Drosophila melanogaster: one gene and its partners. The protein of the gene in region 3 interacts with the protein of the main gene of each other region in a pairwise test. Each region holds a gene or a part of one and is shown on either strand. Other genes may lie near its edges.

Region 1 (6,775 bases), on a different chromosome or scaffold from region 3:
AGAAGGAGAAAAAAACACAAACACTAAACATTTCAGCAATTCAATCATTCACATATGTATGTATTTATATTTCTTTTTTGTTGCTATTTAGCAATTATGCACGAGTTATCTCACGGTCAACTGGTTTTTTTCGAACGATTTTTTATTGTATTTTATACGAGTCGAATTTCGCATTGATGGAAATGCAAATAAACGCGCAGTGAGAAGAGAACATTTTCCGGGCCCCACAGCAAAAGGAAAAAGAAAATTCAAAACGGCACGCGACGCACGAACTTAATTATTTACTACGTGTGTGTGCGTGTTGTTGCACAACTACAATAAAAACTCAAAAAAAAAAAAATTAAATAAAAGCAAACAACAACGATCCAATGTCAGAGAACCACCCACACGAATTGAAAAGTCAAACGGACAAATTGAATTTCGGCCTGCAATTTACGCTTTTAATTAAATCATTAAAAGGGGGCACAAAGATTACGATTACGCCATTACAGAGCACACAGAAAATCAAGATCTGCGTATGATACCAAATTTCTGAGATTAAGTTGATATTTCATTTTTTTTTATTTTATTTTGATGGTTGAAAGATTGATATAGATAAAGACGTAAATTGAACTTTTGTTTCCTTAACATGACAAAGAAACTTGCAACCACTAAATATTTGTATATATTTTCAGTTAAATCGAATCACATGCTAAGTATATTAATAAAACGTTTGTCTTTGTAAAATCAACGAACTGTTGATCATCTATCCGTCCTGTTTTGCTCCCAGTGTAGCGGCAACAGTTGCACTGTTTGGTGTTTGGTGGCTCAAAAATGTAATTACGCACTCCAGTGCAAAAGCAATCGACAGCAAATTACATATTTGTAATGGTTTGCAATTGAACTGCTTTTAAAATTGAATAGCAATTAAATTGTTGCTTGGCAAACACGAACACACACAGCCCGAAAAAAAACCAGACAAACCACTACAGACAGACTCAGACACACACCGATAGAAACGCTGCTGCGCCGACGCAACTGCGCTGCAGAACTTCTCTTCCTCTTCTCCTTCTTCATCTTTTAATTTCTTTTACCTTTAACTATTATCTATTTTAGCATAATTTCATTCACACACCAGCTTTTGTTTGTATTGAAATTAGTCGCGGCGGCTGTAATTAAACAATGCGGTATTTCGAAACTCGCGCTGAGAACGACCGACAATAACACCAACACAGACAGGAGCGCGCCCTTCTCGCACGCACACAAATTTATTATAACACGTAAACAACAACGCCGCAACGCCGACGCAACTTATTTTTCCGGCAGCGACGCGTCCGCATACGTCCGCTCACGTTAAGTTCCGCAGAGAGAAGTTGTTGAAAACATAAACAGAATCACTTGTTGCACTCTTTGAGAAAAGTGGGGCTATTGCTGAAAAAACCAACTAAAAATATTGCAGGTTAGGGATACTCGCTCGATTGGCGTACGGCCACACTTTTGCGACTTCACTGTTAACCTCTACTTCATAGAGACTTTTACCCGATAAATGTTATGAGTTTGACTTTCTCTGTTAATCACAAGAAAAAATATTGTGGAAATTAAAATTATCTCAAATCAATAAAAAATAATAATATATACACCTATGTTTTATAGAAGTCAACAGTAAATAAGTTATTTGGAAAACCATTGTAGCCGTTTAAATAAATCTCCTTGAGTGTGTTTTAAATAACGGTCATTAAGTATATTACTTGGCCCTCTGAATTTCTTGAATTACACCATTTTTAGAAATAAATCAATCCAAAAGACTACTTTTTGGTGGCAAATGAACTGCATAAAAAGTAACAAAAGAAATATGTTTTTGAAATAACAGTATAGCTGAAGTGTATTAAAAAATACCGTCATATGAGCGACCCGCTGTTACCGCTTCGCTGCGAATGACAAAACGGGCTGAGCAAGAAAATGGCGTAGAAGGCGACGAAAATTCGTTTCACTCGTGAAGAAAACCTCGATAACTGAGGAATACAGCTGGGATTTAAAGAGCATATTCGAACTACAAGCAGAGATGTTTCCTGGTGGAAACGGAAACGCCGATTTGGGCTACAACAAGCATGCCCACGTCCATGGACTTGGACAACATGGCCATGGGCACAACCATAATCACAATCAGTTCCTGGCGCAGCCCCCACCACCCCCCACACATTTTTCACTGCCCTCCGGGGGCGGTCAGGGCATGGTGACGCCCATGGTAGCCGCCGGCCTGCCGCTCGCCATGCAGGGTGGCGTTGGCATCGATTGGGCGCAGCTCGCCCAGCAATGGATCCACATGCGGGACGCTACTCCGGTGCCCATGCCCCTGGCCCCTCCGCCGCCCATCATCAGCAATTTGCGAGAATACCACCAGCAGACGCTAGCAATGCCGGTGCCCAGTGTGGTCAGGGCGGGATTTCCGCAACTAGAGGAGCACGGCGAGGCGGATATGGACATGGACGATGAGAATGATCGGGGACATAGCACTGAGACACCCCCACCGCCAGCACCTTTGGTTACGCAATCCCAATGGCTGGCGGGCACCGAAGTGGCTGGTCAGATCCCAGACGCCTCCAACGGAGCGGGTTTGTAGAAGATCCAAGAAGATAGCACAATAAATCAGGTCAGCAACTAACCCTCCTCTCCGTTCCTTGCAGCTGTCACGCTGGGCAAGCAGCCATGGACCGGGTGGCAAATGCAGACCGACAAATCAGGCAATTCCACGGCGCATATACCATCTCTGCTGAAGCTGAACGTGAGCAATCCCAATGAGCCGCACCAACAGCTGCAGTTGCAGTTGCAAGCGCATCAGCAGCAGCAGCAGCAGCATGCTCCCCAACCAACGCATCCACACCATCCACCAGCACATCAGCCGCATGCACATCCACACCACCTAACACCACATACACACCTGCCGCCACAGCACACACAGCAGACGCATGCGGAAAGCGGAAGTAGCGGGGCTAGCAGTGAGATCGATGCAAACAAACGGAAAATGTTGCCAGCTTGGATAAGGTATGAGTGTGCAAAGAACCACAATAAGATGCACAAAAGATAGATACTTGTAATAATTTCCTTAATCTTTCAGAGAGGGCCTGGAGAAAATGGAGCGGGAAAAGCAGCGGCAACTAGAGCGCCAGCAATCCTCCATGACCACGCCAGATGTTGAGGTCAACCATGTTAAGCAAGTATCAAGCAAAACACTAACCACACCTGGTAATCTTTTGAACATCGCGAACGTGGTAAGTAAGGTCGATGGGCGGCAGGGTTAACTGACTCTCAATACGGACAGAAAAGTGCCGAAAGCGTAGCACACACCATCTCACACAAATTGGTTGCACAAAATTTAGACGGGACTGAACCAAACTGAAAACGATGTTTCGTCGTTGAAAGCACACAAAACTTAAAAACAATCCGGACAGTAGAGCAGACTGCAGGCTTGAGTGCAGGCTGTCGATTAAACATTCCCTTGAAATTCAGGCTAGCGACAGCGAAGATTCCATTGACGTGCCTGTGGAGGCGCGTGGAGAACTAAAGGTGCAGCAAATAGGTAATGAATTGATTAGTAAGGACGACGATCGAAGCAGCAGCAGCAGCGAAGAGCCAGAGTCGGAGCTGCATGGAGCCATCGAAACCGGCAATCGGACAGTGGCGGAGCACGTGAGAATGGCTACCGTAAACGATGTCAATGGTAAAAACTACGAAGAAAGACTGGCGGATCTGGTAGGCATCACCATTTGACCCGGATGTTTGCTCAGCCAGGCGATGAAATCGAGTGAGTCTCAGAGGCGAAGGAACTGCGGAATTCTGACAACACTTTACTGGCTGCTCTGCAGTTCGTTCACTCTTCACTAGAGTTTCATTCCCTGGCCATCGGCGGCACATCCAAAAAAAAAACCCATTTGTATAGTTGCAAACAATGAATATGAACACCCAATACCACCCATCTGTAGATGCTTGTGGTGCGTCGGACACTAACCGAAATCCTGCTGGAAACCACGAACGAAGAGATTGCAGCCATTGCAGGCGAGACTCTAAAAGCACACCGTGCGAAAGGTACATTATGCATTATACTTAAGTTTATCCCAAACCGATTTCTTCCAGCGCTCGCGCTCGTGTGTGTGTGTGTAAGTAGTTATAGATCGTAAGACGGCGCGGATATATCGCGGATCGATTGTAGCTTGGATGACCGGATGTTTCGGCCAAGCGATTGGAGTCGTGTTTTTTCCGGCTTCACAGCGCGTTACCAACTCTTTTAATCCTATGTCTATGCTAATAATCTTTAAATCCCTAATAATGAATTGATATATCGAACACCACACAAACCAATGAAATCACTTGCTGAATTTTTTAATTTTAATATATAATATATATAATTATATATATATATGTATGTATGTGTAAATCAAAAGCGTCATCAGCCCAAGTGATTCGCAAAAGCGCCTTGTCCTCCATTACCGGCAACTTGGGTAAGTAACCAAATTCCAGTTTAGTTCATACATATTCTTTGCACTATTTTTGTTCAGAGGTAGTCTGAGTTATGCTTGGTCATCCTGTCTTTCTATACCCCAAATCCTAATCACAAAACGAAAAGATATTACAAAGAATTGGATTACTCCTATGGCCGAGATTTAACATTCTATGCTTCCTGTAAATTTAAGCCATGGCCAAATGATTTCGACCCCCTCGGCGCAGTTTGGTCTTTCTAGCCCGCTTCTTCGTCCTTTCGCTTCCCCATTTCCCCTTCCTTTCACCTTTCCGTAAATTCTTGCGAAGATATTGAAAATCAGTTCAAAATATACCAAAATCTGCGCCCGATCTACATTGAAGCCTGGTAGCAACAATTAGCACTTGACTGATTTGAATTATAGGTTTAGCTGCCTATGGCGATTCTTCCAGCGAAACCGAGGATGATGAGGATGATGAAGATGAGCGTCAAGCGGGCGCTGGAAAGGATGCCGAAAAAAGCGCGCAGCTAAGCGCGGAGGAGTTGAAAGTAAGTTAGCCACACGTTCATTATCAAAAGATATCAATTCTCAATATTATTTGGCTTTTAGGCTCGCATAAGGCGCAGCAAACGATCCTTCGAGAAAGTCATTGACGACATTGAGGATCGAGTGGCCAAGCAAGAGCTGCTTGATGAGCAAACACTGCTGCGACATCGCAAGCGGGAGCTAGAACGCTCCGTAACTGGTGGTGGTGAGCATCGTCGACCGGCGGCCAATCCAGAACCGCCCAGTGAGTCGGCTAGTCAAGCAACCCAGGAAAAGCATCAGCAGTCAAATGGTATAGGTGATGCACATAAATCCAAAGAACTCCTAAGCATACATTGCCATCATTTAGGCAAAAGACTCAGTCGCAAGGAACGGACCACCCGCTTTAGCGACAACAAGGACGGCAAACAGCAGTCGCAGAGCTTCGTGCAACAAGTAGTGGCGACCGCTGTGGTGCCACCACCCGGAAGCCTAAGCAATAGCAGCCCACAAAAGCTGAAGCCCGTTCCCAATCCGGCCACTAATCTACTGCAGATGCCGGAGTCGGTGGCCACCATGCTGACTGCGGCTGACAAGGCGCTGCACAAGGCCAACAAGTCGTCGCATAAAAAAAGCAAGCGCCGCCACTCGTCCCCCTCGTCATCGTCTAGCAGCAGTGGGAGCAGCTCTAGCAGCGATAGCGACGACAGTAGCAGCACCTCGAGCGGATCCAAAACTTCAGGCAGCCGCAGCAAGCGATCCAGTCGGCATGGACACCGCAGCCACCACAGCAGCAGTCGGAGCAAATACGAACGTCGCGATCGCGACAGAGAAAGGGAGCGGGCGCGGGAGCGAGAGCGGGACCGTGATAGGAGTCATCGCCAGCATCGTAGTAGCCAGCTTAGTGGAAGTCACCACCAGAAACAGCGCCGACATCGCGAGTCCAGCCATTCAGGCGAAGATGCTGGCGGTAGCAGCAGTTACCACCGCTCCTCGCGGCAGAGCAGCAGCCGTAGCCATGATCATGGCAGCAACCGTAGCCATGATCACGGCAGCAGCAGCAGCGGACGGAAGCGGCACCGCACGAGATCCCGCTCCAAGTCGCGAAGCACTCACCACTCCAGCTCGAAAGCATACTCCTCCACTTCCGCGTCGCATCCGCGCAAGCGCCATTAAGAAAAATCTTGCGCGTAAAAATCCGAAGTTAATTGTTAATATTACATAATTATTATTTCTTCTGTTTAAGATGCTTTTTAGTAAACAGTTTTAAATCAGCCTAATAAATTAAAAACTCAGAAAAATTTGTTTTTTTTTCATGTGTTATGCGAATATCCTCATAATAATTAGATATATTTTTAAAGTTGGACATACGGGAATACGGGAATTAAGTTCCCAATAATACAAACAAGTAAACTTTTTTAAATTCAATAAATAATTTATTTTTTCTATAAGCAATAACATTTTTGCTAAATTAAGACTTGGTAATTAGGTAATACTATTGTTGTTCTATGGAATATTCGATCGAAACATTCTTATCAGTCTCAAAAACTTAAAACAAACTTATAATATAACCCATATGTTATAACCCATTGATGAACAAAAATTAGACTCTTTGGCCTTAGTCGACCTCCTCGACCGTGGGTCCAGAGTAGCCTCCAAATCCTCCCGCCTGCTGGCCGCAGTTTGCTCCCGGACCACCAGCTCCAGCTCCCGCACCCTGCTGATGCATCTTGGTCATGATGGGGGAGCAGTGGCGGGTGAGCTCCTCCAGCTTGTGGTCGAACTCCTCCTTCTCG
Region 2 (6,488 bases), 6.0 Mb from region 3:
CTTACTTCACCCTGAACCTCACCCGCCTAAATGTGGGTCTGCAAACGATTCCGTTATACAAGCGTATGGATTATCCGGCGTCTTTGTTCACCCGCGCTCAGATTGCCGCCCAAGAGAAGGCCGCCGAACGGGCTGAGGCAGTTTACCAGCAGTGCATTCTGAAGGACGCCAATGGGGGCGCCAAGTCGCGAGCTCCCTCTGCTAAGTCCAATAAGGACGTTGCCCCTGCAGCGGCGGAAAAACCAATTGCTGCCTCAGCAGCTGAACCTGATGAACTTGACGAGCTATTGGCCATGACCGATACGCAACTGGATATAGGCTCTGGAACCATTACGATGCCAATGCCTATGGTGCAGCCGGCCACACCCTCATCGGCAGCAAGCAAAAACGGTGTGGAGGAATGGCTGGATTCCGTTTTGGATGAATAGTTACATAGTTCAGGAGGACTATTACCAGAGCTTTTTACGCTTACACGAAATATTCAAATCACTAAGTGCTTGCATTTTTAGAAGTAGCATCATTAAAATTGCAAAATCTAGAGTTTTCCTCGTAACTTTATAGTTAAAGCTAGAGCCTTTTTATTGTGTATAATAAAATCGTTGATTGCATATATATACGATGCGATTGTTTCTTGAAATAAGTTTCAAAGGTTAGGTTAAGTTATTGAAGATTTCAATTCTCTTCTCATCAAAGTATCTGAATTTATAACAGATTTCTTTGTTTCCGTTCGCTATTACTTACATTGTGGTCCACTTTTGCCTTGGTAACACTTAACCAAATGGCCATGCAAGAGCTGCATAAGCTCACATATGGACTCCAAAAGCACCAGGCGCTCATGCAGATGCCCCAAATCGTTGTTCTCCACCATCAGCGGACGCAGCTCATCAACGATCGCGATTAGCCAGCGAACTAATATCGAACAATCGTCCCTGGCCAGTTTCATATAATCCTCCGGCACATCGGTCTCCTGGCACAGTTGCTGGCCCTGGGCATTGAATGGTCCGATCAGCAGGATGCTGGATATCAAACGGACCACCAGGTGCAGGGAATGCAAATAGGATATTACATAAATATGCGGCTTCACCACGGCAACGACGAGCAGCAGTGTGTTAGCCGGACGCAATCGGTGCAAGTCCAGGCCCAAGTCCGACATATGATCCAACATGGCCCAGAGCAGACAGTTAGCCACAACGCTGGCCATTGTGCACAGCGGACTGGCCACGCGGCAGCCGAGGATCAGGTTGAGCATTGTGCTCGAACTCTGGATATCCAAGAGACCCAGGACATGGACGCATACCTGGTGGATCTGTTGGGCAAAGAAAGGGAAGGATCAAAAAATATATATTTCAAACATATATATGCTTACTCACATGGCTTTCCTCGGAGCATGCCATATAATTGAAGCACTTTTGCAGGAAAAGAGTTCTTTTCACCTGGGTGGCCGACGTGTCCTCATGATGGAGTAGATAAACCATCAAACCGCATACATACACCGCAGCCAGTTTATCTGCTCCGAATTGGATCCCCTCCTGGTTGAGCAGTTCATCAAAACCAGATATAATCTAACGGAACATGTGAATAAATTAGATAATGTGATTATGATATGAATATGGATCACCTCCAGAATATTGCCGGTGGCATAAATAAAGTAGCATTGTTCCCGAATCGCCGATCGACTCATAGTCTGACGCAGCTCTTCCAAACTGAATCCCTGGGGTCGCACCATGTGGCTCATGTTGTATTCTGCCATTTTATCTGAGGAAAAAGCTGGAAAAAGGGAGTTATGCATTACTTTTGAACAGGGAAAAGGCGCCTTCAAGGATTTGCTGCTGCTTCACCTTCTCCTCCTCCTTCTACAAATTAGTGACTGAAAGATATGATGTGTGCAAATAGCCAACGCTATTTTAATGAGCTCCACAACATTTTGACATGTTTTTCAAACACACTTGGCTGCCATCTTGGCCAAGCCGAGTACAGTGAAATCAGCAAGTGGGTACTTTTAATTGAAAAGTCTAGGAATTAACTATGAAGCTTTTGATTTGAATTCATGAACCTTGAACCTATGTACATCTTCCATGATTTAAAATTAATTTTTTGTAATAATATATTAAAATATTATAATTATATAGTTATGTTCATTTTTAGACAAAATACACTTTTGTGTTGAACTTCTAGTTGAATCGCATAAAATTGAAGGACTTAGAGGAGTCGCTGCTATCGGACGCTTACTGTAGTTATGATTTTTCCTGCCTGTGTGTGTGCCCGCCTTTGTTTGTGTGTATTTGTGCTTGTCCTTGCACTGCTTTCGAAAAGGCTGGCAAAATGCAAATGCACGCGCGATGTGCGCATTTTAGCATAAAAGTCACCTGGCCTCCGTTTCCGACTCCCACTTTTCCACCTGCCACGCCCATCGCCGCTTCAAGTTTCTTGCACACTTGGCGAATATCTGCTCATTATGCATTCATATTTCATATTTCGCAATTACTTGCTTTCACACACACACACACGCACGCAAACGAACTGGCGGTAAAAAGCGCAAGAGGTGCAAGCAAGATGGCCATAACAGCAGGAAACCGTTAAGTTTCTGTGTGTGTGTGTGTGTTTGTGCGTCCTTTGCTTGGTCTTTTCTTTCTGCTCTTCTGCTTTTTTATCGCCCCCTTTATTTTTTTGGGGCATTTTTTGCACAGATTCCTATTGAAATTTCCATATTCACATTTTAATTATGCGTCGGCATGAAAAGATTAACAACTTTTTTGCAATCTCTCTGTGTGTGTGTGTGTGTGTGTTATGCTCTCCTTTTTGTTTTTAATTATGCACATGTATTTGTTGATCAAATTTAAATGGCAAAGGGGTAGGCAACATATAACCCTCTCTTTCTGAACTGCTTGCAAACATAACCTCAATTTAGCTGCCACTGCTTGCGAAGCGATTGTATGCTAATCAACTGGGAACATCTATAGCATAATATGATCTATTATATCAGCGTCCAGCTAAAAATCTACGTCAAGTGTAAAAACCCAAGAATCCCCCTCTATTAAACGCAACAAAAGTGCTCAATTAGCGAGGGTTGTTCAGCAAGTTGAACGGGAAACGCAGACCAGGCCAATTACAGTCAAACATCCGTAAGTGGAAAAGATGCTTACATTTTTATTTTACTACAAGATTGAAAAGATGTTTACATTTTCCATTTGAGTATTTTTGCTCATCATAAGAAAAATTTTACTGTAGTTATTTATCTTACTTAAAAAAAAAAATGACAAGACTGGTATTATTATTTATGGAACCATCATTTGGAGGTTCAACTGTGCTAATAGATACTAACAATCATATCCGGTTCCCGTCGGATGGCGATGATAATAATAATCAAGATGGTGATGACAAGTGGCAAGTAGCTACCCTTTAATTTTTGAGGGTGGACCGAACTGATGAGCCGCTTGTGTGCGCTGTTTGTTGTAACCAATCTGTGCATTTTACGCCTAATTTAAGGCAAATTGTCCACCCCACTTGTCTCAACACTTTTGCAACCGAAAACCCTCCCCCATCCAACTAACTTTTTCATTTTTCGGTCTTCGAGGCCGCGGGGCCTGACAAAAGCCAACAGATTTTCATGTCATTATTTACTGATTTGTGGCATTTGAAAGGGAATCGGTTTTCGGGCTTAGGATTTGCGTTCTGTAACCACCCAGCGAACTTTTTGTTTACTAATGAAGTTGTTGTTTACACAATTGGAAAGTATGATGTATGTATACAAATGATAGCCACAGTGCAAGTGGAATCCAAACCGTTCCACCCACCAATTATCACGAAATGTCATCTGAGAATTAGCCACTTTTGCAAGACGCGACATAAGAAATCGAATAGACCCTTGCAAAGAAAATAAGTCTAATATTTCTGTCGGCCCTGATGATACTAAGCGAATTTCTTTCGGTAAGGTAAACATATTGATTTTCTATTAATTATATGCGTTGTGTAACTAGAAACAGTTTTAAAGAATTTGCAAGATGGGGGTAATGAAGAAAAAGTGCCCAAGTAATAAAGAATTTCATGTTTTACAGAGTTTCCTGTATGTATGTATATGTAAGTGCTGTGGCCAACTTTAACCTTTATTTAAACAGCTTAGGACTATTTTTGACCTTAAGATCAATATGCTCTAATAACTATATCATTAGCAATAAAAAAAAGATATACATAAATTTCCAAATATATAGATATAGATAGTTCTAGGAGCTTAGGAGCGTGAAAGAGAGTGATGACCTGGAAATTGCACCAAAGAAAAACTCAAAAAAGAAAGCTTTGGGATCTTTTTGATCAGTGCCAGAAGTTCAAGCGAATCCTTGAGATCAATATGCTCCTGGTGGGCACAAGCGAGAATGCTTTGAGATTCACTATATCATTAGCAATCAAACGAAAAGATACAAAAATTCTAAAATATCTAGATGCAGTTCGAGGAGCTCAGGAGTCTCATAAAGTTCATCCCCATGGATGGGGATCTCAAAGTTTATATACAAAAGGGGCAGGAATCGTAATGAATGTAATTAAAACTGGACATACCTGTACGTTTTGTATGAAATGTTTAGCTTGGCGGAAGAATACTTCACTTGTACAATGAAATTACTTCTCACTTCCTCGTCAATTATTAGCAAATTATCAAGGAGCTCACTAATATTTCAATGGGTATCTTTTTTATTCCGCTGACCACTATTCGCTTTTGCAACAAATTGCAACTGATCGATGGAAAGCCATAGTCAGTGGCTTTCCCTTAGCCATGGACTCTTAGCCAGAGGCAACCTGTATGGCTCAGTCGGGGTTCGAGGCTGAGACTGTGAGACGATTCGATTCGATTCGATCCGATTCGATTCAATCCACAGGTTCGATGGCCGCACAATGGGACACAATGCGGCAATTAGGCATAAAGATGCCAGATTTGAAATAAGCAAGTGTGGCACGGCCCGCGGCACAAACACAATTTCGGACGATTTTCCAAGCGGATAATGACAAACATTTTTAATCACAAAAACGAGACGAGAAACCACCACCGCCAATTGCAGTGGACGGGGGAAAACACAAATTTTCACACAATATGGCAAACATCTCGCAGCCATCCTCCAACCGGAAGTCAAGTGTGTCGAGTCCTTTTGCCCTGCCCATCCATGATGACATAATCGCCCCTCAACACAATCATTATGTCGAGAATTGCTGTTGCGGTTTCTCCGAACTTCACTTCTATTTTTTTTCCTTTATTTTTATATACATGCATATATATATATTTTTGTTTCTGCCCCGCGGATGGGCCACAGCAGGCTGGAATTTAAATTGAAATTGGTATATAATGGCAGGGAGTAACTGACAGTTCCTCCCCTGTGAGTAAAGTGAGTACATTCATGGCCAAAGTCAAGTGCCTTCTGTGGTAACTTTATTATTTTACAATACTTATGCGGCCCAAAACAATCATTACTTTAACAAGTCCAATTTGTTTAGATCTCAAGAATATTTATGTTGTATTTCTGACACCTTGCTATTTATTTACTTATTTATATATATATATATAATATAATTTTATGTTACGTGGGCTGCTTACCATTTTAAATGTATGAAGTAACAGAGGCAACAAATGTAAGATGGAAAGATGGAATTTGGAATTTGGAAATATAATTTAGATTTAGATTTGCTAATAGTTTTGGCTAGTCTTGAAGTTCTCGCGCCTCTTTAGTCGGCCAAACCCAAATTCATAATCACAGGCAAAAGTGCGCAGAAAAGTATGCTACACTTTTGGCACTAGCATTTTCTGTTGTTTTTTTTTCAAAGCTGCAAATTGTACGAACTCTTTAGTTTCGTAGTTTTCAGCCTGAATGCGAGCAAAAGCCGAAAAACTTTTCCCCACTCTCCCGGCTTTATTCCTTTTTTTTTTTAGTTGCAAAGTTCTCCAACGCCGAGAGCTTAATGCAATTAATAACTCATTAAATAAATACAAATCAAATTGAATGATGGCCAGCTCAAAGGAGAAGGGCTGGTGGAGCAGGAGGTGCCTTTGTGCTCAAAGGATGGCTGCGTAAAATGTACCAATTAAAAATGCCATTCAAATCTCAATGGCTGCGCAAATGAACCGCATGAATGTGAGAATTTGCGGTATCAAAAAAAAAAAAAAAAAACGCGAAGGAAACCGGTGAAAGAATCATCCATCATCTATCTGTATCTGCAAGTGGCTGGCATGATGGGGGTTAGCAGATGCATTTTATTCATTAGATTACATTCACATTTCATAGACGATTTCATGGCAACGTTAACTTGCTTGCCATCCCATTCGCCTTTGCCTTTCATTCGCATTTCAGCCATTTTTCCCGCATTTTTTCGCATTGCCCGCCTCGCTTCTTTGGCTTTTCCGTTTTGTTTCCGGTGGCTCCCATCAAGTATCTTTTTAATTAGCGTTCTGTGCCGCTCTGCACCACTTGAAAACTACTACCCGTTCCACGTCGTCTGCCCCTATATCA
Region 3 (4,613 bases):
GCGATTCATGTCCGCCTGCTTGAAGGGAAACTGCTCCAGGCGCTGCAGCCACTCCTCCTTGATGATGGCCTCCGATTTCTCGTTGTAGCTCATTTTCTTGCTCTTGCGTATCTTGCCAATCTTGAGGCCGTTTTTCCAACCGATTTGCGTCGAATTCTGTTTACCTAATCGTCTTCCCGCTTTTCCTAGCCCTGTTTATGCGCTTTTATTGTTTACTAACTTGCAATGCACAAATGACGCTGGAAATTTTCTTTTCTTCTGTTCAGCGTGACCAGAGTGCTTTAGCAAGCGCAGCATGGTCACGCTGTTTGATTGCCAAGAGGGCGCGAATTTTGAAATCAAACTATCGAATGAACTATATTTTATTGTTTATTATTATTGTAGCGAAAACACCCTAAATTTGTTATTTAAGCTAGAAGCTGGCTTAAACTACTTTAGTTAAGATATATTAGTGCAATCCCAATCCACTATTCGCCTTTGCGTTCCGAACTGAATATAAAGAGCTGCTCTATTGCTGATCTAACTTTATTGAATACTTTGAATTTGTTTATTTGTCACTTTACAAGTATAAGAGCCGCTAGCGACGCGACCAGGTGCCTACGCCGCCGCCCCCGCCACGGAAGAGGGGCGCCAGCAGGCGCAGTCAGCCTCAGTTCTTTCGGTTGCCACGGCGCCGCATGGAGGCGGTGCACTTGGGGCAGTACCACTTGCCCTTGGGCGGCTGGGTGATGCCCACGCAGGGGTAGTGGAACCACTCGTAGGGACAGGCGTCGTTGTCGCAGGCCACCATGTCGCCGTAGGACACCTGGTTGCAGGTGCAGTAGCGCGGCTCGTTGGGATCGTACGACCATTCGCCCTCGTTCGTCTGCTCCACCACGAGTCCGTTCTCGCCGATGGTCAGGCTGGAGCCGGGCGTTACCGTGGTGGTGGGCAGGTTCATGGCAATCATTCCGGCGGGCACGCCCTCAGCGGAACTCTCCGCCAAGTTGCCTCCGCCTCCACCTCCGGGGGTCATGGCGAGCAGCGCCTGTCCACCCACAGACATGTAGGTTGTCGTGGCCGATGCCGCCGCCAGGGCCGCCGACGTGGTGAGCTTGTTCACCGATTCCAGACTAATCGACGACGACGAGCCAATCGAGTTGCCCGACGAGGAGCCGGCCGTCGGCTGCACTGTGGGCAACGTCAGCGCTGTGGTTAGCTTCTTCTTTTGCTTCTTCTCCTGGTGGTGGCTGCTGTGCCCGCCGCCGTGACCACTGCTGCTGTGGTGTCCGTGCCCATGACCATGCCCATGGCCATGACCATGTCCGTGCCCATGGCCGCCATGGTGCGACTGTGAGTGGTGCGAATGATGCGAGCCGGTGCTACTACCGCCAGCTGCGCCGGTGGCCAACGCTGTGCCGGCAGCCACTGTCACCGATCCAGCGGTCGACTGCTGCAGTCCACCCTGACCGGCTTGGGTCCAGAAGTCGGTGGTGGTGCCCGCTGTTCCGTGTATGGCCTCGTAACTCGCCTTGAGGCTGGCCGTGCGGCGGCCTTGCTGCATCTGCTGTGTGGCCACGATCGCCTGGCTGGCTGCCGCCGCAATGGCACTAGATGCGGCGGCTCCTCCGCCCAGTTGTTGCAGGTTGTAGGTGACTGTGGCCCCGGCGGCCGAGTGCCCACTGACATGGGCGTGCCCGTGGGCCGTACCAGCAGCGACCACGGACGTGGAGTTGCCGCCCGCTGCCGCTGCGGCGGTCGCTCCACCCGAGGTGCTTAGCACGGTGTGGGTAAGGTTCGTGGGCAGTTGGCGGACCAGCGAACCCGTTCCTGTGGCAAGCGAGCTGCTGGCAAGACTGCTACTGCCGCCGGCCACGCCCATGGCCACAGGCAGGGTGAGATGAGTGGCGGCGATGCTGCCAATGTGGTTGGAGACATGAGTTTGGGCAGTCGTCGCGCTGGCCAGGCTGGCGGCTGCTGCGGCCGTTGTGGCGGACGAAGATGAGGCTGCCGCGGCAGTCGTGGAGCCCGAACCGACCACGGGAAGTGAGTGATTCAGATTGGCGCGCTTCTCCTGAACAGGCACCGTGCATATGGTTTCCCGCCGCTTCTCCAGCTTGCGGTGGCGCTGACTTGAGCCCAACTGGGCGGTGGAGATGCTGGAGAGGGCACCGCCCGTTCCGGCAGCACCACTGACCAGTGCAATGCCGGAGGAGCCAGTGGCGGCACCCGTTGCGTGTCCCGTCGAGCTGTTCACCATGGTATTGGCCGAACTGGCGCCGTAGTAGCGGTTCTCCTTCTGGTTCATGCTCAGCAGCAGGGCGGTGGCTGCAGTGGAGTTGCCGTCCAGCTCCAGAGAGCGGCGCTCGAGGATTTCGGTGATGCCGTTGTTGTCCGCCTCCAGCTCGCACTTGAACTTGAAGAGCTCGCTATCCAGGCGGCGCAAGTAGCGCTCCACCAGCTCGTGTATCTGAGTGGCAATAGCCACCTTCTCGTCGGCGTCCTCCATCACCTTGAAGTACTCGCCGCGCAGGCTGTGGAACTCCGTGTCCATCGACTCGTGCTGCAGTTCGTCGCGCTTGCACTGCTTGAAGAACATGTGGGCCTTCTTGTCCAGCGAGTCCATGTTGTCTGTGCACCGCAAGGAGCAGTTATTGGTTAGTGATCCGGCGAAAAGCAGAGATTCGGATTCTCTGGTTGCACTTACTCTGGACGGCGAGATCTAGTTCGCGCATCTCGGTAAAGCGGTCGCGCAGCTCCTGCGGCAGGTGCTCGATCATCTCCAGATAGTCTTCGAGGTAAAGCATGATGGCGATGCGAATGGGCCGCGGTGTAAACCCAAAATTTTAACTACTTTGTGTGTTTATTAATGAAAATTCGTGTATTGTTGCGGGTATGTGTGTGACCGGATGGCGAAACGAAGTTAATCCCAGATGCGGATGGTAGTGCTCGATAATATCGATATTTAAGCAATCGACTCGAAACCGCGATACAAACTCAGGGTGGATAGCTGCGACACAAACCCTGTAAGGTGAAATTCGAAATTTAAATAAATTGTATAAATGGAAATCATAATTAATGATATTATTTATTTACATATTATAAGCTGTATTGTATAAAACTAAAAATGTGAATATATTTCAAAACAAATATATACTCACATTTTTACTGTTCAAAAGTTGTGAACAATAAGGAGTAAGCATTTTAAAGATATAAACAAACAACAGATGCCCATAGGATTGTTTCAAATATATCATTTTATTTCACTTATTGCCTGGCAAATGCGTGTTTACCCGCTTGTTTTTGGGTCTGGGATCGTGGCTCCCGGATGCACATCGTCCACATGCAGCCACTTTCGTTGCCACACGCGTCTCATCGTCATATGTATACTACATGCGTAAATGTAAAAAGCTTAGCTTAAACTTAACGAAAGTATTTAGAGTTAAGGTCGCTCCGTTCGGCTAGATTAACTTATTCGAATGCGAGGGCGCAGGCGCAGGTGCGGGTGCGGGGAATGATCCAAACAAGGTTTGAACGCAGCGGCGCGGAAACAAGTCAAGCTGCTAAATGCATCCAGTTTACTATCTAGCGGAAGGGGCCTCCTTCTAATCGCCAATCTGCCATATCAAATCAGCTACTACGCGGGATCGGGATTTGGGATTGGGTGCGAGATGTGTTCGGGCATCCGAGGTTGGGGCAATACTAAACGTAATCATAATACACACACATCGTAAAATGCTAAATCCTAGTCACACAGCTCACACAGCTACGTACAACACAACACGATTCCAGCATTCCATCATCGCGCCGCCTCCGTGGACGGCCAGCCCTATATGGACATCTCGGGCATCTTGTTGTGCTTGAGGTTGATCTGGACGCTCTGCGAGAACATCTTGATAATGCCGTAGTGGTCGTTGGCGAACACTTTCAGGAAGCTGGGCACGTTCTTGTGGAGCAGCTCGTGGCAGAACTGTGGGTATTTTTGGTAGGCCGGCTGCTTGTCATCCCAAATGGCCAGCAGATCGCAATCGTCGCTGTTGTAGAAAGCAGGCAAAAGTACATATTAATGCGATAAGAATACAATATCTCAATTAAGCGTTCAAGTGCCCGTCTCGAGGATTTTGTCTGCGTCTACTCACCGCACTTCGTTGGTGCACTCGTCCAGCGATATGATCAAGTACTGGATCTTCAGCTGGGCGCACTGGTTGTAGATATCCGACGACTGCTGACGACTGTACACCGAGTACACGTGCTCCGTGCGCTCCCTTAAAAAAGATAAACAAAGGCGGAAGTTTCAGTACGTGCATGGCCAGGATATGGATGCCAATGAGAGCGGGACAGAGCAGGGGCATAGTCGATAGGCTATCTCGCTCAGATTGGGAGAACTTACGCTATCTGACGCATCTCCAGGTGCGCATGGTTGACTATGGGCCGTTTGGTGGTCAAGTGCACGGTGCCGATGATGTCCACGGGGCCGGCAAAGACCGCATCTCGCTCTGTGTTCAGCTTGATCCACTCGAGCATGCTGTCCAGGTCGTCACCGCTCTTGGAGTAGCGCGTGGGGAAGTACTCTTCGCGAATGTTCTATTTTTGAGAGGGCGACGAAATCACAACAATTCCCGTGAGCAATAGAG
Region 4 (4,763 bases), on a different chromosome or scaffold from region 3:
CACAGCAATAACAAAAGACTATGCTATAGTGGAGTTCCCCGACTATCAGGAACCCAGATATCAGAATACAATTAGAATGAAATAGGCGGTTTATGGGGGTTAGAGTGGGCATAGCAAAAAGTTTTGTTTATCAAATTTACAACACCAGCGAAAATATGAAAAAAGATCAAAACATTTTTCAAAAGCACGGGCGTGACAGGTTTGGTAAGTTTGTAGGTGTGGCAAAATGGGTCAACAAACTTGCGCTGCTTCTATGTCTCTAGAATCTGTATGCTTAACCTCAACCTTTTAGCTTTTATAGCTCAAGGACTGCTAGGTTCGGAAAAATCGAATTTCTTTTAATTTGAAATCTGGTATCGTTTGCCACGTCCAATTTTTGAAATCAGAATTTTCGAAAAAGATATAAAATCAAGAAGTTGAGGTTTTTTTTTTAAATCGCAATACCATTGTTTGTTCACGTTTGACCACCTTTTAGAATTTGAAAAAATGTATAATTTAGAAAATATATGACATAAAGCGTTTGACCATCGCTTACAACTAAATATTATCAATTAAAAACGTTTGCAAAACCATTATTATTATTTTCTTATCGTTTGCACACCCTTAAAACAAAAAAACTAAAAAGAAGTGTAAACTGCGGTTTTAGTAACTGATAATATTTTTTCACCAGATCGAAGGTGCTCTAAAAAATCGCGGTCGGTCATATGCAGCGGTTTGCACTGCCACTGACCACGAAAAATGCCCTCTTTGAACAAGAATTCGACTTTATTCGTTTAAAACATCACCAGATAGATATTGCGAGCCATTATAGTTAAGGCCATCTTTTGGTTTCATTTAGCGCAGTGCTGTACATCGTCGATTGCTTGTCTTTTGTAATGGTACAGTGGTGTTCACAAACTCTTGTGATTCTGTATATGGCTATGGATTTTGTATATAAAGAGCCTGAGTCGATGAGAACTTCGGACTTCTAAAAGTTTTGGGTTTGGTTGGGTTTAATCGGCCAACGCAGAAGTCAACAGCAGGCGTGTGATTTTCGTTGCCAAAATGGTCTCCTTGCTGATCTCAGGGACTTATGAGAATTCGGATCAAGGCTGTGCACAGGACAACTGCGAGGACGACTATTTTACTACATCCGGCGACGCCTTTTTTCGCTTCCAGAGAAGACACTATCATCGAGGTGCTTGCTGCTGAACCACGGATAAGTATTAGGGTTCTGGAAAAAGAGAGACCCCAAGATGCGATGCTTGCCGGACATCAATTGTTGTCACGTTGTTAGCTTCACTTTAATGTGTATAAGTATGTGAATTTGTGAAAGATTTTCATTTAGCAAAAGTAATGATTATTTAAAAGAGTTTTGGCTCGCGAACCGGTTCACCATTATAGGGCACTGTAACTACACGGTTCATGTAACATACTATATATCACCGTACTGTCTAGAAAAAAATCATGCTTGCGTAAGAGTGGGCGTGGCCAGAATGTTTAAGTCATTACGATTAAAAAATTAAGGTTTCATACCATCTATTTTAATTATATCGCAATGCAAAGATAAATGAAACATGTCCCAAAAATGAATTAAAAATTATGGCGGTTTATTTTTATGAAATAAAAGTTTACCCGCTTAATATTCTCTTTAATTTGCGAATACATCAACTTCTTGCTAAACTCTTTTGTATGTATACAATATACTTTTTTTGCCAAGAGTTGAGGAGTATAAAAAACATTTACCGATGAAACGCTTTTGCCGCATTGTCGTTGTTATGGTTATGCCCTTTGGCTTACCAGCATTTGACCCGGAACCTGCAGCAGCGTTTAAAGCGTGAGACAGACCAAGGAATACGCGGGACGAGAAATGTGCATTGACTTTGTTGTTAGAAACCGCGCACTTTGCAGTGCATTTATTCCGTCGTCGGTGTTGAATGAAACAAAAGTGTCGCTATTATTTAACGACAACAGCTCCTTGGACTTCAGACTCTTTGGGGTCTCTTAAGAAATGTTGAGAAAAGTGACATGGCTTAACACATCGGGGGTCTATTCAAAGGACAGATTTATAAATTCCATTTAACCGTTTCTTTAATTTGTATATCGCCTATTTTTATTAAACAATAAAACAGTATTTATAATTCAATTGGCTTTTAAAGGGAGAGAATAATTTTAACATTCGATTAGCCAACAGTAGATGAATAGCCTGAATCCAACGTATAATCCTAGAAAATTCTTGGACTCATTTATTTTGAAAACTTCCGCACAACCTTTAAATGTCATCTCATGGGAATGGTTAAACCATACTTCGATCAAGGCATTACAATAGAAATGTCTACTTCTTCCTTTGGAGACTTAACAGAAAATTTCACTTTCTTTGTTAGCGCTAAATAGGGGTTTGAGGATCTTAGCGATGCAACCTGCACCTGGTCTTGTGTAATATTTATTACGCTTTCTATTAAATAAAGCATACTTTTGTGAGCAATTGTTTGCCTTTTCTGTGCGGTCCACCCGCTAAGTTACAACAACGTATACTGCAGTTGACAAGTGTATGGGGAATTTTGTAAATGAAGTAAACTTATCCCAAGCCCGAATGACTACCGATTGTTGAAAAGAAATAAAATTAGTTTTCTATGCTTTCTTTTATTTTTCAATGGTTTGCTTGTGTAAGCTTTTCATAATTAGTCGGCTTTATTTTATAAGGTAAGTTTACTTTGTCAAAATTGTTGAACTCAACCCAACAACGCATTTCAGCCAGCTTAATTGTACTGACAACTTACATGTACTTGGATGTAATTAATCCACGATGTTTTTAAATATTTAAGTCACTTTTCAACAACTCTCACAATTCACGCTGCATTTCATTTTTGCTAAATATATATCGATCCTTGGCTATCCTTTTTCGTTTTCGAATTCTAAGCAATAGTATTTTTTAAAAACTTCCGCACAATTCGAATCAAATATCTCGGGAGCGCACAACGATTACCGGAAACGCGGAAGCGCTGGTGATGACGGCCACTTGTGGAATGGCTGAATGAACGAAGCGGTGCCATCGGCCGACCCGAGTCCAGACAAAAGACGAATCACAAGCCTGGCCGATGGGAGTCGAGTCGAGCAACAAGTCCACCCAGCAGAGGGGGCTGGAGCTTCCGCCCGCACGAGAGCCTGAGTCGAAACAGACTGGCGAATGGAGAGCAACTGAAAATACTCAAAAACGGAGTGGATTTCTGAGTCAGAGTGTTTTTTTTCGTATTTTCCAAAGTATTGAGGTGGCACCGCTGAAATTAGAGGATTATGTTATCTGGGGTCCTTTAATTAATGCCTGCATATTGACATTGCAGTCCGTACCCACGATAACTCCTTAATATAAATACTAAGTAACTGTTTGAATAAATTTTTTTTATATGAAAATGTTTACGAATGTATCTAATGCGAGTTCCGTTCGACACATTAAAGTGTAATGGTATTTCCTGCACTATTTTTAAAGTTTCATAGCCAAATGACTGCAAAACCAAGAAAGTGTTTGTTTTCGAACCCAAAATTAAATAAACTCAACTCGAAACTCAAATGCGAAATATTAAGTATTTATCAAACCAAAACTCCGTTGGCAGGGCATGACGTTCCTCTACTCACTCCGACATTATATCAATAAGTACTAGGTCCCATGAAAAACGAACGTAAAAACGTAAAACGAATATACCCTTCCCGGCACGTTGTCCCAGGCTAGCTCACACATACACAGATGCAGTTCCAACGCCACCACATATTTGCCCAACGGGGTGGATTGTGGCTCGGAGTTCCTAGACATGGACACCACGTGCTCAGGCTCAACTCCAGAGGGGGGTATTGAGCCATAGGGCAGGGGCACCCACAAGGGACTATGGGAAATTTTACCACTTTTTCTGACCAAAATGAATAACTCCAGAACGGAGTAAGATATTTGGTTTTTCTTTTCTTACATTGACTTATACTAGACCATATCTATGAGACTTCCAAAACTGTGGGCGTGGCACCACGCCTTATATTTAATTAACTAATTTTCGTAAAGGGAATTCTCCTTTATATAAAATAATACTAACAAAAACAAAAGAGAATGCTATAGTCGAGTTCTCCGACTATCAGATTGGGGAATAAATCATTTTTGGGGAATAAAATGAGAAAAAATTTCCAAAGTGTGGGTTTAACCGGTTCGGCGGCTTTAGGGCGTTAGAGTGAGCGTGGCAAAAATGTTTTTGTCAAATCGATAGGAATTTACAAGAATAATACAATTTTGAAAACATTTCAACATTTCACAAAATGCGGCCGTTTAGGCGGTTTTAGGGCGTTAGAGTGGGCGTGGAAAAATGGGTCAACAAACTTGTGTCTGTCTCTAGAATCTGTCTGCTGCATCTCAACCTTCTAGCTTTTATAGTTCCTGAAATCTCGCCGTTCATACGGACGGACAGGGCCAGATCTTCATACGGATAGTCGGACAGACGGACATGATAAGATCGACTCGGTTATTGATCCTGATCAAGAACATATACTTTATATAGTCTTAATCGCTTCCTTCTGACAGTTACATACTTTTCAACGAATTTATTTACTCTACGAGTAACGGGTATAATAATAAAACAAATCAGCAACAAATCAGCAACCGCCTTGTTGAACTCCTTTTTAGCATAAAAAACTTAACAAGAATACAAAGCTACAACATGAGGTACATTTCATTGATGGACTTTTTAAGTTAAGTCTTTATCAAACAAATGCTTTTGTAAGGAAATTTATATTTTACTCAATTTTGG

What was found.
Region 1: the proteins of Ing3 (region 3) and CG31211 interact in a two-hybrid assay, tested with the Drosophila melanogaster proteins (one large-scale study listed by BioGRID).
Region 2: the proteins of Ing3 (region 3) and CG15728 interact in a two-hybrid assay, tested with the Drosophila melanogaster proteins (one large-scale study listed by BioGRID).
Region 4: the proteins of Ing3 (region 3) and dimm interact in a two-hybrid assay, tested with the Drosophila melanogaster proteins (one large-scale study listed by BioGRID).

The regions. Positions count from the first base shown.
Region 1 is NT_033777.3:11,947,764-11,954,538, forward strand, and holds CG31211 (uncharacterized protein), read left to right. Parts: upstream 1-1,916; 5' UTR 1,917-2,041; coding exon 2,042-2,591; intron 2,592-2,663; coding exon 2,664-3,021; intron 3,022-3,094; coding exon 3,095-3,248; intron 3,249-3,486; coding exon 3,487-3,729; intron 3,730-3,959; coding exon 3,960-4,062; intron 4,063-4,418; coding exon 4,419-4,475; intron 4,476-4,877; coding exon 4,878-5,002; intron 5,003-5,063; coding exon 5,064-6,155; 3' UTR 6,156-6,275; downstream 6,276-6,775. Other genes in the region: Hsp70Aa (heat shock protein 70 Aa), read right to left, coding at 6,598-6,775.
Region 2 is NC_004354.4:12,622,495-12,628,982, reverse strand, and holds CG15728 (uncharacterized protein), read right to left. Parts: upstream 4,692-6,488; 5' UTR 4,552-4,691; intron 1,891-4,551; exon of another isoform or gene 1,839-1,890; intron 1,768-1,838; 5' UTR 1,751-1,767; coding exon 1,619-1,750; intron 1,563-1,618; coding exon 1,371-1,562; intron 1,307-1,370; coding exon 734-1,306; 3' UTR 538-733; downstream 1-537. Other genes in the region: Aven (apoptosis and caspase activation inhibitor), read left to right, coding at 1-428.
Region 3 is NC_004354.4:18,650,178-18,654,790, forward strand, and holds Ing3 (inhibitor of growth family, member 3), read right to left. Parts: upstream 2,915-4,613; 5' UTR 2,787-2,914; coding exon 2,687-2,786; intron 2,611-2,686; coding exon 650-2,610; 3' UTR 541-649; downstream 1-540. Other genes in the region: Hou (houki), read right to left, coding at 1-93; CG6659 (uncharacterized protein), read right to left, coding at 3,809-4,013, 4,119-4,244, 4,370-4,563.
Region 4 is NT_033779.5:21,330,023-21,334,785, reverse strand, and holds the start of dimm (dimmed), read right to left. Parts: upstream 3,031-4,763; 5' UTR 2,760-3,030; intron 1-2,759. UniProt on the Drosophila melanogaster protein: Transcription factor that regulates neurosecretory (NS) cell function and neuroendocrine cell fate. Acts as a master regulator of common NS functions such as Phm expression and neuropeptide production.